2 linked regions of the Lonchura striata genome follow. The protein of the gene in region 1 interacts with the protein of each later gene in a pairwise test. Links are inferred from orthologs where the notes say so. Each region holds a gene or a part of one and is shown on either strand. Other genes may lie near its edges.

Region 1 (5,690 bases):
TTGTGAGATGGGGTGAACTCTCATGGAGCAAGGCAAGGGCTGTGGCTCTGTTCACCCTGTGAGTCAGGAGCCAGCTTAAGGAGAAGGGGCAATGGGCAGGACCAAGCACAGAGCATCTCTCCAACCTCCATGGAGGTGCCATGCTGGAATCCAGGTGTCCTCTGAGGAAAGGGGACAGAAGCTTGAGGACACCAGGGACAGGGGCAATTCAGACTAGTCCTATCTCTACCCGTGGTCTGATGATGCCGCTGCTGCCAGCACCCCTGAGTCACCAGGCACCCTCCCCACACCCTCTGCTTCGTCTGAAGCGTGGCTACAGCAGAGCCAGAGCTGGGGACACGTGTGGCACCAGGGCAGGCAGGATTGCCCAGAGGACTCCCTTGTCCTGGGGCACAACCAGTATCAGGCTGCACAGGGCTGAGGGTCCCCGTGCCAAGAGCCAGGTGGGTGCTTTGGGAAACCCCTCCCGGATCAGCCAAACAGGCAGTGGGAAAATCCCTCTGGAAACTTTCCCAAGACAAGAGCAGTTGGCCAGGAGCAGAGGGGTGGCAGGGGGCAGAGGGCAGGCAGCCCAGCTCTTCTCAGACCCTCCTCCACCCGTGCAGCTCTCGCACTCATGCACTGGTACTGGTTAGACTGGTCTCCTGTTTGCACAGCTTGTCCCCCTGCAGCCAGCAGCTCTTTCCCCACCCCAGACAGAGCACCCAGCGCCCGGGGCCGTGTCACATCATGCCCTGGCACCCCGGCCCCCCACCCTCCCTCTGTGCTGCCGAGACAACCCCTGCACCGGGCAGCGGCGATGCTGTGGGCGCTGATAACGCGGCCCCGGGCGCCTGCCCTGCGGGAGATACCCGGCGCTTCTCGGGGCCGACGGGCACAGCGAGAGGCGCAGAGGGCTGCGGTTACTCATTAGCCAAAGTCTCACCGTGTCAAGGACAGTGAAGCGGCCCCAGGGCTGGCCCAAGGGCTCAGGGTGGGCGGGGAGAGCCGGCAGCGCGGGCACATCCCTGCCCAAGGGGATGGCAGGGAGCAGAGCAGTGTCACAACGGGGCCCTCCTGGTCCCGCCAGCACCTCTGACCCCTCCGCAGGGTTGGGCTCGTGGCTGCCCCATTCCCTCATGCCCTAAAGACTCGGACACCCCAGTCAAAGTGAGCCCAAGGAGCAGCATCGCAGCTCAGCAGCCGACTGTGCTGCTCTCTGAGCAGCCCTGGCACAACGAGCAGGTCCCCGGGGACACAAGATGAGCTGCAGCCTCCTTGCAAGGGTTTAGGGGTTGGGGAGCAGCCCTCATGCCGCGCCCTAGGAAGAGGAGACAAACCAGAGGCAGGAATGAACAGCAGCGGCTTCCCCCGCATCTCCGCTCTTCCATCGCAGCGCCCGTGACTCACAGATGACTCAACACGGAAACACCCCTGTCCCCCCGAGCACCTACTGCTCTCCAAAACCCTTCTCTCGGGCACAAGCTGCTCTCCGGGAACCCCCGCGAGTCCCAGCACTCTTTCAGGGCATTTGTCAGCGCCCGGGAACAAGCGCAGCAGCTCCCGGAGCGCGGCCGGTCGCAGGGAAAAATTCCACATCCGTTTTCCCCACGGCTGGCTCCACAGCGCAGCCAGCTCCCCTCCTGCCACGGCTGCGGGCCGCGCATTTTTTCCAGCCCTCGAAAGATCGTGGCCAAGATAGTTCTGGGTTTGCACAAGGTAGAAAAAAAGCCTTTAGACAGCTCAGCTCCTCCTCTCACCAGCATCCCGATCCCCGGGATCCGGGAGCGGGGATCTGGCGAGCAGCAAACCGCCTTATCGGAGAACGAAACTGCCGCAGCGCACGGGAAATAGAAAGCTAAATATAACCCCACACGGCTTTCGGATACGGCTCTAACAGGCAGCACAGTCCCTCCCTCCCAGGTAGAATATTTATGGCATCTGCTAAGGAAGTTAATTTTAGCCTCATTTGGTACAGGCTCAAAACGAGGAGTCCAGAATAAGAGGCAAGAGATCAAACGGAACAAGAGGGGGCTGTTCCCGCCGCTGCCCAGCCCGAACACGGCTGCGAGCCAAAGCTGATGACGGAAAGGGATCGGCTCGCTCCTTCCTTGGAGCAGCCTTCGGGAACTGAGCGCCGCAGGGACACGTCCCGACGCTGCACGGGCTGGCAGAGCCCAGGGGAAGCCCAGGGCCAGCCCCTGCTTGGCCAGCAGTGCCACCGGCCAGGGAGCCCCGTGTCCTCAGGGGACCTGGGCTGGTAACCGGTGACAGCCCTGAGGAGGGCAGAGGAACCCAGAGGCAGCAGGGAAGGGTCCACGAAGGCAGGGAGGGAAAGAAACGAGCCCGATGGGCAGCGGCTGGAGGAATTCGTGCCTCAATGGGAGCACATCACCCAGTGACAGCTGGTGGGAGGGGGACACGAGTGCTACCCGCACACTTCTTCCCCCAAAGCCAGGGACCCCACAGAGTGGGAGCAGCTTGGCACAGGGAGGGTTAAAGCAAACAAAACCTGGAGCAGGTTCTTTAACCGGTGCCAAAGACAGCAAAGGAAAATAGGACGAGCAGGCGAAATCCGTAGGCAGGACAGAGCCAGCTGGCTGGCACGGCTTCCCGGGCTGTGCCGGAGCGTGTTTAGGAATAGCTCCAGCATGACGAAGGCAGAGGGGCCGCCAGCCCGGCGCTCCCGGCCCGCATAGCACCGACCCTGCCGGGGGCCCAGGGCATGTCTGCTCAGCCCCTGCCCCAGGCGTGCCCAGCTCCGCTCCCAAATCCCCGCTCCAAGGGCATCCCGGCCAAAGATGGCGCTTGGAAGGAGAGCAGGAATGACGAGAGAGCTTCTCTCCTCTTTTGGTCCCTACCACAGACACTCCAGCCCCGGCCAGGCCACGGATTTTTCCTCTCTCTCCCTGGCTCCTCCAGGTCGCTCCTTCCTCCCTCCCGGCTCCCTGCCAAGCATGACGACAGCACCCGTCCCGCCGCAGTCCCCGCCATCCCCAGGGCACTCACCGGGCTTTCAGCTCCTTGTGCTCCTCCCGCACTTTACTGAGCTCCAGCTGCAGCCGAGCTCTCTCCTTGGCCACCGAATCCAAGGTCTTGCGGGCATCCGCCAGCTCCGACTCGTAGGCAGCCTTGATGCCCGAGACCTCGCGGCTCACCACCTCCTCGGACTCGGTGATGCGGAGCCGCAGCCCGGCGTTCTCCAGCTCCAGCGAGCGCACCTTGTCGATGTACACGGCCAAGCGGTCATTGAGCTCCTGCAGGTCCTCCTTCTCCTGCAGCCGGGTGATGCGTGTGGGGGACAAGGGGGTCCCCGAAGCCCCGCTGCGGGTGCTCCTCTTCTGCGAAGGCGTCGCCATGGGGTCCGGCGTCGAGGCGAGGGGCACGGCTCAGGTCACGGCGCGATGTCCCACGCCACCCGCCCAGCTGTCGCGGCAGCTCCCGGCGTCTGAGTGACTTGCTTATATCCCAGCTGGGCTGTTCACTGGGAGGAGGAGCTGAGAGGCGGCGGCGGGTGGAGTTATCCAAAAGCTGGGTGGAGACAAGTCGCATCAGTCCCAGCCCTTCCTTAGGAAAGGCTGGGAAAATATCTCTGGGTAGAGGGGCCTTGGGAGGGCGTCTCTGGGGACACAGTCCGGGGAAACCCCTTTGCAGGCTTTTCTGGGGCGATTCCCTCGACAAAGGCTGCATCGCAGACTGGGAGTGACAGGGAAAAGGAGGGGGCTGCAGGGAGGAGGAGCAGCCAGGCACCCCCAGGACCCTTGGGCGGAGCACTTCCAGGACATTGCTGTCCCATAGGACAGGGCAGGGCATGGGGGGTCCTGGCACACCCTGAATGCAGGAGCCACAGGCTGCACAGGACCCCGAGGTACCTGAAACTCTGGGATCCAAGGACCCAAATGCAGTCCTGAAACACCCTGGTCTGGGTTCCCCTGAATCCTGAGGCATCACACACAAAGAGCACTGAGGCACTAAAGAATGCCACCACCCACCTACCCACTTCCCTGCACTGCTTTTGCCCAGTTCTCTCAGCACTGGTATTCCCCATTTCCCAGCTCTCCTCAGTGCCAGCTGTGCCAGTTTGTAGCTCCCCAAATTCTGAGCACCAGTTGAGCTCACGTCCCAATTCCCTGACTGTTTCCTGTTCTCCTGCCTCCCAGCCCCCTCCAGTCCCACTCAACCACCCTTCCAGTATGGCCAGCTCCCAGCAGGGGGGATTCCCAGTCCTCCCAGCAGGTGCGGGGTGCTCTGTCTCCCTCAAAACGCTACCGAGACACAGACAGCTCATGATTTCCAGATCTGCCAAATGCTTCCAGGCACTCCCAGCGCTACCAGAGGGGGGATGTCCCCTCCTTGGACTTCATTCCCCCTCCCTGCATTGTGCTCTGGAGCCAAACCCTCCCGTGTGTGAGAAATGGGAATAAAATGACAATGGGAGTGGAAAAGCAACGCTTTTACACCCTAGAAATGAGGGGGAGGCGGGGGTCCTGGGGGGAGATCCACCTTCCTCCGTGTGAGCTCCTCCTTGGAAAGTCGGGCTCTGCAGAAAGGAAAGACGGGAAGGCAGCTGCACCTCGAAGCTGGGGACGCTGGCGAGAGCCGGAGCACCCCAAAGCACAACCTCCCCCAGGCATTCCCTGCGAGCAGAGGGGTCCAAGGTCAAGGGCACAGCCACGCCGAGCCGCCTCCGGAGCCGCGGCCGCCCGGCTCCTCCTGTCCGCGCTGCAATCCAAGCTCGCTTTGCTGCTCCGCTCGGGGCTGAGGATGACTCACACAGCAACGGAGCAACACACGCAAACACGCAGAGCACACACAGGACACGCGTGTGCGCTCTCCGGCAGTGATTAACCCGCCCGCAGCCGCGCTGCCGGGGAAAGGACCCGGCCACAATCCGGGGGCACTTTCAAAAGGCAACAGCTCAAAGCCGGGAATTGCCCCGGCACCACGTCAAAGATGGGAGGGGAAAGGGGGGAAATGGGGGGTGTCAGCTGGGCACAGCCATCCTGGCACTGCCACAGGGAGGGGTTGGGGGTGAGATTCCCCCTCCTTCCCCACCGTGGCTCGCAGGGAAACTCTCTCTGCTTGGAGAAGCCCCCTGACTGCTGTAGGCATTTCTGTGCCACCACTCACTCAGCACTGGTCTCCCTGCGTCTCCAGGGGGGTCTGCGCTCCTTCACGCCATTCCTTTGTTCAGTGCCACACAAATTCCTCCTTCCCTGCCTCCTCGCCTGTCCCAACACCTTTCCTCCCTCCTCCCACGCGCATTGCCCGTTCCCTGGTGGGGGGACCCCGCAGCCCTGGGGGCACCCAGCGTGTCACGCCCAGGGCAGGCGAGAGCGGGCAGGAAGGCGCTGTGGCCGGGCCACGGGGCTGGCAGCAGCCGGGGACGGCGGGCACGGCCCCGAGGAACGGCGGGCACGGCCCCGAGGGCGGCGGGCAGGGCGGAGGGCGGGCCCGGCGCGCTCCGGGACGCGCGGAGCGCCCGCCCTGCGCGGCTCCGCGCTGTTTTCTTTCAAACCCCGAGCCCTGGCTGGGAGGGAAAGCCAAAGGCCGTTTCGCCCGAGGGTGCTCTCCAAGCAGGAGGTGCCTGCCTGCGTCCGGGGCATCCGCGGGGGCACTGACCTTGGAGCGTTTTCCTTGGAGCGTCACGAACGGCAGGGCTAAAGCTGACTTGCCTTAATGTGGGAAATGGCATCCAGGGTAAAGGCAGG
Region 2 (5,690 bases), on another chromosome or scaffold:
CTCCCCCCTCCCCCCATAAAACCAAACATCTTTGCCTGATAAGTCTCTTGTATGACCTTTCAAACAGGCCCTTCAGGTCCAGATGTTCTCATCCTACCTTCATTAACAGGAGACATCAGACTGATCTTTTTCATATAATCACTTTAAAGGTAAAAAAAAAATCCCTCAATATATTCATTAGAAATGATTCTTCCAAGACATTAAATGCACAGCAAGCTGAGTCTTAATAATCTATGCATTCTAAGCTCTGAACAGTTCCTGTTTGACAACAGCATCATGCCAATATTTTTGGTACATGCTTTAAAATAATGGTCCTAGAGAGGAAAAAATGTAATTTCATAGTTACTTTTCCTGTGAGCTATCTTTGCTGACATTCAGCTCATAACTAACCAGGACAAGGGGCATTCAGAAGCAGATGGTTCACCCTGAAGCAATAGTGTCTTGTGTAGCTAGTCACTGTCCTCAGATACCACTATGCCAAACAGGCTTAAGGGAAAAAAGCAAAAAAGTTGGTCAAAAACATTAGTAGAGCTGGAGAAGCTGGCTTCTCCCAACAATATTATCAGATTGAGGCACAAACAGGTGTGATTTTAAAAGCCTTTCCTGTTCTGGTAGGAATATATAGCCAAAGTGAGCCATATATTCTTGGGCTGGATAGAGCTAAGATGGAAGAGTGACAGAATCAAAACATAATTTGCAACATAATTGAAACGATGGGATTTTGTCTCTGTACAGCTTTTATCAATAGAAAATAAGCACCTGAACGCATTATCAAATGCTCAGAACTTAGAAAAATGCCACTAAAATGACAGTGTAGACAGTTCAAAATTCCTAATGACTACAGCCATGTCGAAACTCCAATGCCAGCATTAAGAGACCCGGTACAGCTTTCAGGGACTGCAGCGTGGGTATTCAGCTTGCCTGCAGGCGTTGCTCACACCCGCCGTAAGACAAGCGCTGCCTGCCCCCGCTCAGGACGCCTCGGAGCGCGCCCCCTGGCGCCCGGCCCCGCCCGGCCCCACCCTCCGGCCGCTCCGCGCACGCGAGGCCGGCAACCCAAGGCGGCTGCGGGCTCCGAGAGGCCAGGCGCTGTTTGCTCCTAATAAAGCCAGGGGCGAGCGGGCCCAGAGAGGGGCGGGGGAGGCCCGTTCTTTTACTTCATTCCGCCTTTCCATCACTGCTTGCAGTTCCAGCTTCCCACCCTTGTCCCTTATTTCTAACTTCTTACAAATGTCAGTGCTGTCCCTCCTATCCTCTCTTAAACTCACCAAGATATTTTGCTTTGGTTTTTCACCAGAATCCCAGTCCCCTGGGATGTCCCTCGCTCTTCCTCTTCTTTTCAATTGTTCTGGGGGCAAATTATTCTGGAGACACCTGTGCTAATCTTTTTGAACGACAGCTGATCACAGAAGTACCCTTATGCCAAAAGACATTAACAGGGACAAGTTACTCAGGCTACAAGTAGTTGCAGAACTATTCAAGTGGCACAAAGAAGAAAACAAGCACAGATCATCCAAGTTTGTTTTACTTGGCAGGTATTGTTTGGGATTTTTCTGAGTGTTTCGGTTGGGGTTGGTTGTTGTACCGAGGGGAAGGCGACACAACACAGGGCACAACGGACCCAAATCTGAGCAGCTCTCACTAGATTATTTGCCGAAATTCTGGAACTTCTGATGATACAGTGCTCTGATACTAAAACACAAGCATAAATAACACAGAGCCTTCCAGATATTGTCAACAAAAGTGTAGGAGAACCACCCATTCTGTAAACATCAAAAAACTCACTCACAATTGTTTGAACTTAAGCCCTCTTGAAAGGAAAACTCCTATCTAGGAGAGGAACTAGCAGTTCTGATATGTTCCTCCTCCAGCAAGCATGAAACAAGTCAGATTCAAGCTCATCATGTTTTACTCAAAAGCAGCTTATGAATGCTATCAGCAGACCACTCTAAGTCAGAGAAATATCTGTTTCACTGTAACTGCATTCAGTAAATGCCAAGTAAGTGTCTGAAATAGACAGAAATAAGGTAAATAACTTGGTTTTAGAGAGCTCTTCCTCTTGAAGTTACAGTTTTCGACTTTTTAGTTTAAGAACTGCTCTCTTAGAAAGTTAAAGCGTGAAAGACCTTCAAAGGACTCCGTTTCTCAGCACGCCCTCAACTAATGACCTTTGAAACACAGTATCTAAGACACAATTAAATAGTTTCACTATCACACACATTAGGACTCCGGAAGCTGATAATCATTATCCAAGGCTTTTCTCGAGATTAGACATCTTACAACACCAATTACAAGATTGCATTCTCAATATATGCAAATTTATAGTACACTTATGAAAAATTAAGAAAAAAATCACATTTTCCCAAAGAGGAAAAACTTCAAATGCCATCAGCTTTCCCTCTTTCATCACACGCGTAAAGTCTAAGAAAACAAGCACAGTGGACGAACAGAACAGGCACCAGAGGCGCTTTGCTGTAATACACATCTTAGAGGTACGAGCAAGACGTCTACATTAAGCAGACCCTCTTTACACTAAACAGTCCACATCATTAAGCGAAACAAACTAGCTGTTACCGCGCAGCTTCATCTTTCATTTAGAGGCATTTACACCGACCAGCGCTGCTGCCGTACAACCGTACAACAAGCGGACCGGAGTCCTTTCCTGAGCAAGCTGCAACCTCGTACAGCTCTCTTGCTTCGCTCCTCCAACACAGCAATAGTCTACTTAGGACAGCGCTCGCCAAGCTACAGCAAAGGTTTCCCAGTTTACAGTCTGGGGGCTGTTTGCACGCTCCACGCGCGCTGGCGCTGCCTTGCCCCGCAGCTCCAAGGGGCGCTCCGGGCGGGACGCATCCTGGAGGAGCAGCCCGCGGCCCCCGGCACCGACCCGCCGTCCCAACTCGTCCCCGGTGCGGGGCGGCCGCCCCGCTGCCCCGCTCCCCCAGGCGGAGGGAGCGTCCCGGCCGGGCGCGATCCCGCCCGCGGCCGAGCCGGACGCTCTCCCGGCCCCGTGCGGGGACCCCGGCGCGCCGCGCCCCGGCGGGCGGGCGGGGCGGCCGGCCCCGTTCGGGCGGGAAAGCGGGCCCGAGGCTGCCGGGAAGCCGAGGCGGCGCGGGCAGGAGCAGCGGTACTCACCCGCCCGGCGGCAGCAGCTCCGCGGCTCCGGGCGCCGAGCGGTGTGGGCTCCCGCTCCTCGTCGCTGGAAAAGTCGGGCTGCGCGAGGGCGGGCGGGTTGCGGGCGGTGAGGTGCTGCAGGTAGAGCTGCACGTACACGTCCTTGCGCTGCTCGCCGCCCGGGAGGCTCACATTGTTAGCGATCAGCTCGCTCTTCAGCTTCTCCTTGGTCAGCACCGACGGATCCGCCAGGAACTCGGGCATCGCCGCCGGCCGCAGCCGCCACCGCCGCTCTCCCGGGAGAGGCACCAACAAAGCGCGGGGAGAAGGGGCGGGGGAGCGGCAGGAGGAGGAGGAGGAGGACTCGCCTGCTCCGCGCCAGGGACCAGCTCCACAGCGGGCGGGCGCGCGCACCGAGCGCTTCTTCCCAGCCAGCAATAAGCGGCGCCCTGATTGGTGGGGAGAGCAACGAAGCGGCCCCGCTATTGGCCGGCGGGCGGAGAGGGGGCGGGCGGCGCGGGAGCCGCGGCGTTGGTGCTTTGCGCGAGGGACAGTAACGCAGTTTAAATTCGGCTCGGGCGGGAGCGGCGCGCGGGGCGGCGCTCGCGGGCGCCGGCAGGGCGGGGGAGCCGCCGGGGCCCCCTCGGGTGACAGGTGTGTCCCCGCCCCGGGAGCGCCCCTCCCTGCCGCGGGGCAGGCGTGAGCGCCATCCCCGTTACCTGCCGCGATCCCGGCGTCCTGCCGCCACACCTGCCGCCTCCTCTGCCCCGGAGGCACCTGCGGCCTTGGCAGAGCGGCTCGGCAGCTCTTTCCCCCGGGACAGCCGCCCAACCCTTTGGCTAGCGGGCTCCAGAAGAAATCCAGCCGGGAAATCAGTAGCTAATCTGTTTGTGTGACTGCCGCCGTTGCGGTGGCTTAAACGCAAACCCCGAACTCGCAGCTACAGTACCGCAGAGTTTGAAAAGCGCTCAGTCGTTTTATTTATCCGTTTGTGAAGTCGACTAATAAAATGTCGCAAGTGTGCTCCTGCTGGAGAAGTTCGATTAAGTTCAACACTGCAGTCTTACAGTCTTTAAACAAGTGGGTTAAATTCTTCTGTGTTTTACCTGCTGCTTGCTGGGAACACGCACTGCTTCTGTTTTATGATGGGAAAGGTTTAGTGTTTAGATTTGACTACATGTCCTATGCTTTTGAGAACCACCTTACAGTATACCAAAAATAAGAATTTAGATGTAGCTATTTCAATTTCTCCATCAGTCATGGATCTGAAATGGGATTGTTGGTGTTTGCACCTACTCTCCTTTGTATTCCAGAAAGAGTTGTAAGTTGCTGTTAGGAAAAGGGATTTCCACTACTGTTGTGTGCTCCGTCAAGAAGCTCTCGTGGTGCCTGTTGCTCCTATTTACCTTACCATAGCTCAGTATCAGTTAGATGAAGGTGATGAGGATTATTTTTTCTGGTAGGTAATTTCGAGACAGATCAAGGACCCACCCACAGGAAGCTTGACACTTCCCACTGAAGAATTGGTGTGATGTAACAAAATAATTAAGAGGAGGGAGAAGCTTAGCTTGGGACATTTAATTTACTTCGTTGTGCTAGTAGCTCTGTGAGGTGGCAGTCATGTGAAGTTCTTTATTATTTGGATCTGAAAGTGCTTGGTTCCTGGTGTACATACTTAACCTGTTCAGTTAGGCAACGAGACTGAACAGTGGGTAGAAACATCTTCCTCCATTAATACCACACATGCACACAGTAAAAAGTAATGAATCAACATGGATTGACTACTATCATTTACTTTTAAGCTTGACTAGAACAAATTAGATGGTTCTATATATATTTTCAGCTATTTTACCCAACAATTTACCAGGTACATGGGCATTACATGACAGGTGTTTTAAAAATACTTAAAGGAAATTTAATTCCTGTTCAAATTTGATAGTGCTAACTTAAAGCATAGTATTTTTCACCCTGAAAAGCTTTTAGGTGGCTTGGGAAATAGTCTTTCATCTACCTTTAAGAATTTGCTTCTTTTCCAGATATGGAACAAGTTGCACAATATACTTTAGAGAGATCCTTCAGTTATCATACTAATGTAAAAAATAACAACTTTAACTCATATCAAGTCTAAAATTATTTAAAGCAGCATAAGGGATAACTGGGTCTGGGAAATTTCAGTCAAAGTTAATAGTGAAAATACAATCTAAAAAGTTGGTGTAGTCACCATGTAACATCCCCAAAGAGAATAATAGTAGGATAGCCCTGAAGCTTGTTTTTTGACAGTCCTTCTTAGTGCAGGCACCATTCACAACTTGCTGTACTGTTCAGATCCTGCAATACAGCTGGTGCTGGCTTTTCTTGTGAGTGCCAGTTCAGGAATGGAAGGAAGTACAACCACTGAGCTTGAATACATTGATGGCAGACCTGGTTTTAATGCATTAAGTGTAGCATAAAAAACCCCTACAGGAATACAGCACAAAATAGTAAATCCCTACAATTACACTCACAGTTCAGCTTTGGTCATAACAAATGGATAGGCTGACTTGTCTTATCTTGGTTCTGTGTTTTTCTGCTTTTGC

What was found. The genes of interacting proteins can lie anywhere in the genome.
Region 2: the proteins of LMNA (region 1) and TMPO interact in a two-hybrid assay, tested with the Homo sapiens proteins (2 studies listed by BioGRID, with this or other methods). The link is inferred for Lonchura striata from reciprocal best matches to the Homo sapiens genes LMNA and TMPO.

What each region holds. Positions count from the first base shown.
Region 1 is NC_134635.1:1,183,599-1,189,288, forward strand, and holds the start of LMNA (lamin), read right to left. Parts: upstream 3,471-5,690; 5' UTR 3,339-3,470; coding exon 2,989-3,338; intron 1-2,988.
Region 2 is NC_134607.1:55,415,829-55,421,518, reverse strand, and holds the start of TMPO (thymopoietin), read right to left. Parts: upstream 3,538-5,690; 5' UTR 3,379-3,537; coding exon 3,136-3,378; intron 1-3,135. UniProt on the Homo sapiens protein: May help direct the assembly of the nuclear lamina and thereby help maintain the structural organization of the nuclear envelope. Possible receptor for attachment of lamin filaments to the inner nuclear membrane.